Linked DNA regions of Caenorhabditis elegans. The protein of the gene in region 1 interacts with the protein of each later gene in a pairwise test. Each region holds a gene or a part of one and is shown on either strand. Other genes may lie near its edges.

The links. The genes of interacting proteins can lie anywhere in the genome.
Region 2: the proteins of lido-15 (region 1) and ndx-1 interact in a two-hybrid assay, tested with the Caenorhabditis elegans proteins (one large-scale study listed by BioGRID).

Annotation. Positions count from the first base shown.
Region 1 is NC_003280.10:3,810,677-3,813,974, reverse strand, and holds lido-15 (MADF domain-containing protein), read right to left. Parts: upstream 1,694-3,298; 5' UTR 1,670-1,693; coding exon 1,185-1,669; intron 1,131-1,184; coding exon 914-1,130; intron 860-913; coding exon 629-859; 3' UTR 547-628; downstream 1-546.
Region 2 is NC_003279.8:12,677,365-12,682,350, forward strand, and holds ndx-1 (Putative nudix hydrolase 1), read left to right. Parts: upstream 1-1,842; 5' UTR 1,843-1,846; coding exon 1,847-1,952; intron 1,953-1,999; coding exon 2,000-2,077; intron 2,078-2,184; coding exon 2,185-2,267; intron 2,268-2,358; coding exon 2,359-2,566; intron 2,567-3,270; coding exon 3,271-3,361; intron 3,362-3,416; coding exon 3,417-3,563; intron 3,564-3,613; coding exon 3,614-3,746; intron 3,747-3,889; coding exon 3,890-4,050; intron 4,051-4,324; coding exon 4,325-4,415; 3' UTR 4,416-4,448; downstream 4,449-4,986. Other genes in the region: T26E3.10 (resistance to Congo red protein), read right to left, coding at 4,538-4,732. UniProt on the Caenorhabditis elegans protein: Probably mediates the hydrolysis of some nucleoside diphosphate derivatives.

The sequences.
Region 1 (3,298 bases):
AACCGTGTTATTTCTATCAAGCTGACGTTTAAAAATTGGAATCACGCATATTGATGCTTGAAAAATTGGTTTCGCGTAGAAATTTTGTCATAGAGTTAACTTGTTCTAATCGGTTCGAAAATCAATGATAAATCAACCAAATATTGAATTTGTTCAATAAAATTTTTTTTTTAATTTTTTTTAAAGCAATATTAATCCCAATATTTAATTATTTTTTCCAAATTTCATCTTGAAAACTCGAATAATCGCGAAATTTCGCGTGAAATTCATTTAATACCGTAAAAGTGTGCAAGCGCGCTCCGTTGGACTTTCCAATTCTCGATTTTCACAACTCTCCCGATTTGAGGCGCTGTGATCTGCAGTTTATATTCTAGTTAATTGTTAAGTCTTATAAATCAGCTAAAAACCAAAAACTCATATTTTTTCAGCTATCACTGCACAATAATTTTTTTCAGATAGTAAGCTCCGAGTTGACGAAACACTGAGAAGCGCAGGAATTAAAGACGGCTCGGCGGTTAATAGATGGGAACCGTGCCCATATTAATACTACAATGTTGCTTTTTTATTTGGAAATAAAGTTATTCGATAACATACGTAGATCAACAAACAATTTTATTATTAAAAAGATTCATCGCTTTGAGTTCCGAACTGGAAACCTTGCTGCTAGATCGCCGAACACCTCTGAAGCCGTCGAAAAATCCGCGTCGGGCTCATCAAAAGCAAGCACGGTGTAGGTGAGCACAGACCGGATCAGATTGGTTTTCTCGGGATATTGCTCGAAAATTCGTTTGATTTGCTGGCTTATTCGTTCTGTCTCTACTGCCGCTGGGCTGGATTCTCGAGGGCGTTTTAGAGACGGCTGAAAGTTTTCAAAATGTTGAGGAATATTGCAAATAAGTCTAAAAAACGATACCTTCTCCTCATCCTCTGCTTTTGGATTCGGCACTGGTGGAGAGATAGGTGAAGGTATTGAAGAACTCGACGAGCTTGCCTGGAGCATCTGACTCAGCTCATGCCTCAGATTCATCGGGTTTTCGAAAGCATTGAGAAATGGATTCTCCAGCTTAACCTTGGTGGGAGTCGAGGTCGATGAGACTTGTGGAATAAGAGATGAGAGGTACTTCATGGCGCTGAAAATTGGAATTTTCTAGAAAAATTAAATACAAGACTACAAGTTAAATTACCTATCATTCTCCTCAACCAACGACATCATATCGGGCTCTTCGAAGAACGATTGCATATCCTCTCCGCTGACGGGCTCCGAATTCCTCGCCTCATTCCCTGTTCGTTCTGCTCGCAACTGCCGATACTTGTAAAGCTTGTCATAGTAAAACCGAAGATCCTGGAACAGCTCCCATTTCTGAAGCTCAAGCTCAGTCTGGATTCTGCTCATTCCGCTCTGGACACAATTGTGAAGACGCTGGCCGAGATTCGACTTGATACTTCGGAATCCGGATCGCATTTGATCTACTGAAACCAGGATTCCTGTCCGCTGAAAAAGCTCGATTCCGACCGTTTCCCAGCGTTCCCGATCAATTTTTTGGTTGCTATTCCATAGGTCTTCTTTTGGCTCCAAAATGTTCAGAAATACTTTTTTGATGAGATTGTCCATCGGGAACTTGGTCCCCTCAATGTGCTCGGTGAGCTTTCGGTAGTCGGTGGCGTTCATCGCGAGCATCAAGTTGAACTCTGAAAATTTTTAAAGTTTTTAGTTAAAAAAAAAGAAATTTGTTTTTTTTTAAATAAAAACTAAAAGATTCTGAAAGAGACAGAGATTAGCAATATTAATTTTTTTCTCTATTTATTACGTGGTGTCAGGCTATCCCATTACGGTGTGATCTACAAAAAATGCGGAATCTTTTTTGCCAAGAAAAATGTGACGTCAGTACCTTGCGAAATCAGATGAGAAATCGGCGTGCTGACGCGTCTACTTTCCCGCGATTCATGTAGATCATGGGACACCTTGGCACCACGCGAACTGATAGTTCAGGACCCCACGTTGCCAGTAAGTTTATCAATGGAGCGCAATTGCAGCTTTACCCCTTTCTCGAGAAAGGTGTAAAGCTAAACTTAGTGAAGCGAAAAGTCAATATTAAAACATTTTTTGACGATGAATTTCGATAAAAGTGGGAAGAGAAAAAGTGAAAAAAAAAACTTTTTTTAGAGTAACATATTTCATTTCGACGACAAAAACTTTCAGCATGATAACTGGGACATAAAAAAGAGGTCGAAGAGACGCAGACAATGTTGAGCACGACAAGAAATTTGTTGTTGACGCGTTTTTGTTAGGCAGCAAGGAAAAATGTTCAAGGAGAGTGATGGGGAGCAGAGAAAAAAGGAAATTGCTGAGGGAGAGAGAGAAAGTTGTTGATATAATAAAGTCAGGGAATGATATGAAATTGAACATTTTTTTGGGTCTCGCCACGGGGTACTGTAGCTAGGAACGTTTAGCTTGCGGCAAGACCCATGACGCTTTTTTCCGGCCAATGGTAAATTGCCGGAATTGAAATTTCCGGCAAACTGGCAAAATGGCAATTTGTGGGGATTGAAATTTATGGCAAATCGGCAAACCGGCAACTTGCCGGAATTGAAATTTCAGGCAAATCAGCAAATAGCCGAGTTGTCGAATTTGCGGGAAAAAAGGCAATTGTAATTTTGCACATTTCTTTTTTCGAAATTTCAAATTTTCAATTTCAAGCGGCAAAATTGTACGCATTCTATGAATGTTCCTACATTTATTTTGAAAATTAAGCAAATTCTATGAAAATATTTAATGAAAACGGTACAAAAATTTCAAAAAAGCATAGTTTTAAATGTTTTCGTCTTATAAAAAATCACTCTGAAAACTTCCGGCAAATCTGATATCCGGCAAACGACAAACCGGCAATTTGCCGAAAAATGAAAATTTCCGGATAAAAGGCAAACCGGTAATTTCAAAAAATTTGCCAAACGGCAATTGTCGCCCACGTCTGAATTGAACCACAAATTAAAAGATATTTTTTAGTTTACCAAACGCAAATTAAACTTTTTTGAAAATTAGTTTTGTCAGTTGTCAACTACGATTTGAAAGTCGATACTAGTTGTGACAAACGTGCTGCAAAAATGTGGAGTGCGGCAAATAATAATGTGGACTGAAGGGGGGAAAGATATGAAAAACTGGACGAGAGATAGAGCATTGGAGACGAAGAGACGCAGACTGGCCGTGGGGTGGAGACGACAAGAAATTTGTTGTTGACGCCGCGTCGCTTTTTGTTAGTCAGCAAGAAAACTGGGAGAGAATTATAGAAAACGAGATAGA
Region 2 (4,986 bases), on another chromosome or scaffold:
AAATATTGCAAAAAGCCTCGAAAAACATAAAAAATTTAAGATAAGTCAGTTTTCACAGTTTTTTACCCTACCAAACTAAAAAATGCCTGAAAATGTATGTTTTCACAGTTTATAGGTTTAAGATTCTTTTAAATGGTCAATTTCCAATATTTTTGGACAATTTTCGAAATATTGCCCGAATGGCGCAGTGGGATTTTTCATATCTACCAATCTCAAGACCAGGGTTCGAGTCCCCACCGTGGCACCTTTTTTAATAATTTTTTTTTAATGTGACTAGACTAATTCGATAGTGCTGAATTCGAAAATCATAGACTCACAATCTGAATATGAAGAAAAACCGAAAACTGGTTTTCCAAAACTGCCAATTTTTGGCTCAAACCTCCGACAATTAAAATCCTTTCTCACAAAGTGCTCAATGTGCAATTTCAATTCGAAAAACATGTTTTTCTGCGTCTCTACCCCCATTTCCAAATAGGTCAGAGAAAACAAAAAGGCGCGGGAGGGGCTCTTTTTAGTCACCCAGCCGCCTTCCAATGTGGCGGGGAGAGGGCCCCCACGACGCCATTTAATGGATTTGTTTGCATTTCGTTGTGTGTGCATACTTGCAAGCATATACTATTCCTTGGTTTTCTCGATTTGTGCACTTTTGCAAGTTTTCGCCGGAATCAAGAGGGAATTTTTGGATCACAGGGATTACAAATAGTCTGAAATTTTCTAAATATTAATAGTTATGTTAATTTTTTGAAGTTTAAGTCATTTTTGAACACTTTAAAAATTTCGCTCGAATGGCTCAGTTGGATTTTCCAAAACTACCAATCACAACACCGGGGTTCGACTCCGGTAGATGACACCAATTTTTCACTCTTTTCTAAAATATAATTTCCTCTATGTACCATGTGTTCCAATTTATGATGCTCAGAAAGCCTATGTCATTTATACCGGAAGCTATAGAAGACATTTGATACTACAAAAGGTACTTGACCCACCCTCCAAACCAACGATATCCTAAGAAATTCCTGCTATACACATGCAAAATGTTGATCTCGCCATTAAAAACTGCTTAAAAAAGCCAATAAAAATATTTGCCACAGCGGGGGTTCGAACCCCGGCGTTGAGATTGGAAGCTATCCAAAATCCCACTGCGCCATTCGTACATTTTCTGAAATTTTGTAATATGACCCAAATTTTTGGTAAAAACTGGTTTTGAACCTTTTTTCAGACCGTTTTAAACCTCGCCGCCTCATTTTCCCAGTCAATCCCGGCGTTTTCTCCCTCTAATCGCCGTGCCCCATCTCGTCACCCTAGTTTTCGCGCAGTTCATTGCCCAGTTAATAAAGATGTTCCGCCCGTTGCATTTTGCCCTTTTTATCTCTGCGTATCTCAATGTATCGTTTTCCAAAACGTTTCAATTGTGTGTATTTGTTTGGGTGTTCGTATACGTTTTTCGTTGGAAGGAGTTTTTAAAAACGATTTCTAAACATTTTCATAGGATTGATATTGATTTTAAGCCACTGCAAAAAATTTTTAAAAATCCAAAAACTTTAAAAAAATTGTTTAAAAAAATTCAAAAAACAAAAGTAAAATTTTTTCCAAAAAAAAAATTCTTTAAAAATGTCAAAAAACTAATATATTGCACAAAAAACCCTTATTAGTTTAATAAAAAAACTGAAAAAATAATTTGCCACCGTGGGGACTTGAACCCCGGTCTTGAGATTACCAACTCCTCCAGAATCCCACTACACCATCCGTGCACTTTTTTGTCAAAAAATTTTTTCGCGTTTCGGAACCATTTTCTTGTAAAAATTTCGTCAGATATATCAGTTTTACCAATTTTTATTCCAGAAAAATGCCACTTGGAAAGTTGGACCTAGTCGAAGAGGAGTACATCGCCGAAAGCGGAGATCACACGCCAGAAGCCTCCCGGCTTATGGGAAATGGTGATTCTGTAGTTGGTAAGCCTTTGAACTGATAGGAATCTGGAAATTATAGAAGTTTCCAGAAAACTTGAATGGTCACACAAATGGGGCAGTTGCGAAGAAGAAAAATGAGCCAAGGGTGCCGGATATGCAGTTGGGCAGTGAGTTTTTCAAGGTTTTTTGTTGTAAATTTGATACTTGAAAAACCTTTTTGAATGAAAAAAAAATAATAAAAAAAAACAAATTTTTAAAAACCTAAATATTCCAGAATGTCGCTATGTAAGGTTACATGACAATGTAAACTATGTCGCTGCTGCAATTATTCTACGGAACCAGGGAGACGACACAGAGGTAATTTTTATTTGCGGCGATGGGTCTCGAAACGAAAAAGCTTTAGTAGCTCAGCCCAAAAAATGATTTTTTATAAAATTCAAATTTCCAGGTGCTCCTAATCCAAGAGGCCAAGAAAAGTTGTCGTGGGAAATGGTATATGCCTGCCGGACGGGTAGAAGCTGGTGAGACAATTGAAGAAGCAGTGGTACGAGAGGTTAAAGAGGAGACTGGGTACAGTTGTGATGTTGTGGAACTCCTGTCACTACAAGTTCAAGGATCCGGATGGTATCGATATGCTTTTTATTGTAATATTACAGGTGAGAACTCAGTGAGCTTATTTATTTTTCTATTAAAAATTTGAATTTTCGCCAAAAATGTTCCTTAAAAATTTGAATTTCCCGCCAAAAACTCTCAGGTTCAGGCATTTTATTTGTAGAAATTTGAACTAAATTCTGCAAATTTTGACCACAATTTTTGAATTTTTTACCTAATTTACAACTTTTGAGCAAAATTCGTACCTTTAGACCCAATTCTGTTAGTTTTGCTCTAAATGTTTCAAAATTAAACCCTCACCACTATGAGCGTGATATTTTGAAACGTTTTCAGTGAATATAGCTATGATTTCTCATCTCAACGCACTTGAATTAGCACATGGTGTCAGGCAGTCCCATCACGGTTCGATCTACAAAAAGTGCGGGATTTTTTTGCCCAAAAAAAATGAAGTCAGCACGTTCTTAAACAGACAAAATCACTTGAAAGGCTGCGTCTCTTCTCCCGCATTTTTTGTAGAAATACGTAGATGAAGCCAGACACCCTGATACCACGTGAATTAGCCAAACGAAGCTTTGAAGAAAGAATTTACCACTGTGGGGACTCGAACCACGGTCTCCCAATTGAAAGGGGTTTCATCGAAAATCCCACTGCGCCACGTGCACAATTTTTTTGAAATACGCTATAAAAAGGTTAAAAATTTTTTTAAAAGCATTTTCAAATTCCATTTTCTGAATTTGTATTTTTCCAGGCGGTGACCTGAAAACAGAACCCGATCAGGAATCCCTAGCCGCAGAGTGGTATAACATCAAGGATCTCAAAGCCAACAAGGTTCAGTTAAGGTATCTGAAATTTTTTTTTTCGATCCTAAATTTTGAAACCAATTTTTTTTTACAGAGGCCGAGATTTCATCCGACTAGTCGACGAGGCCGTCACATACCGAACACACGGCCCCGTCGATTCTATTCCACGTGTAATGCCGTTAAATCAAAACGTTGCTGGATTATTTTTGGAGTTTATGATTGTCAAGCACTCTAGGGATGGGTAAGGGTCTTAGCTGCGAGGGAAAATTCACTAAAAAAAGGTTTATTCAGGCTCCGAACCGAGGTGCTCGTGCACAAGTCGATCAAGGACGAGACGTACCTGCTGGAAGAGGAACAGCCATTCCCAACGGTGGAATTTGGGTTCGAGTACTTCTTTGCGATGGTTGTATCCAAGTGTTATAGGGTGAGCGTGATTTGTAAAAAAAATTAGGCTTAGGTCTAGGCTTAAACATAGGCTTAAACTTAGACTTAAACTTAGGCTAAGGCTTAGTCTTAGCCGGCTCGGTTCACGAATTTCAGTTTTCTTCTGATCCTACAAATTTTCAGCATTTGCTCGAAGAAGGTGCCAATGTAGTATTTACACCGTCTCACGTGACGCGGATAAAATGCCACCCAAAACCAATGGAATCCCTGGCGCACGGAGTCTCAATAAGGGTTTACTGCGAGCACAAGCAATCCGCTTCAAAAGCCATCATTCGGAGTCCGCGGTGAGACATTTTGAATTAAAAACCTTTTAATTACTTTTAATTAGTCTGATAAAACTTTGAAAAAAGAAAGTGCCACAGTGGGGACTCGAACCCAGGTAGTTTGATTATAAAAGGTTCTTGTCGAAAATTCCACTGCGTCATTTGGACATTTTCGACAATTTTCTTTTTCAAAAATCGATTTTAAACCGTTTTTTTTAAAGAGAAGTTCATATATTTGTTCTACCTGAAGTCTTATTGGAAATAATTGAAAAATAAAATAATCCCGAAATTTCAGGTATCACTGGATATCCGTCGAATCACCGGAGACACGACAGCGATTTCACATGGCTCAGAAGCAATTCCGGCCGTCACTTCATATGCTTTAATGCTTTTGGTTTTCTTGAATAAACATTTGAAAAATTATTTTTTTTTTAATTTTCTAAAGACCAACTCTCAATATTAGTTTATTACATACATTTGAAAAAATCATTTTTTTCAAAAATTGAGATCACTGACTCCTTAACAAAGAGCTATAAGTTGGTGGAGGTGGCTCTTGGAGCACGTCATATGCAGGCGGGGGCTGAAGATCCGGTAACTCCGAGGTTTTTCGCAGAATATCTGTATTTCCTTCGTCGAAATCGAATATCGGTGCTTGTGCAGCTAATCGCCGTTTTTTTGCCATACCGACAAGGCACATGTAGATCTGAAAAAAATCGGTTAAAAACATGATTTCTCAACTCAAAATTAACGAAAATTGCTCAAAATTGCTCGAAGTTTCAAAAATTACAAGAAATTTTGATTTTCAATCATTTTTTAAAAAGTGTTCGAATGGCGCAGTGGGATTTTCGCCGAAAGCCTTTTCCAATCAAATGACCGGGGTTCGAGTCCCCACCGTGGCAACGTTTTTTTTCAAGTTTATATGATATTAGACTAATTATAGTGCTCTGATGTCAACCG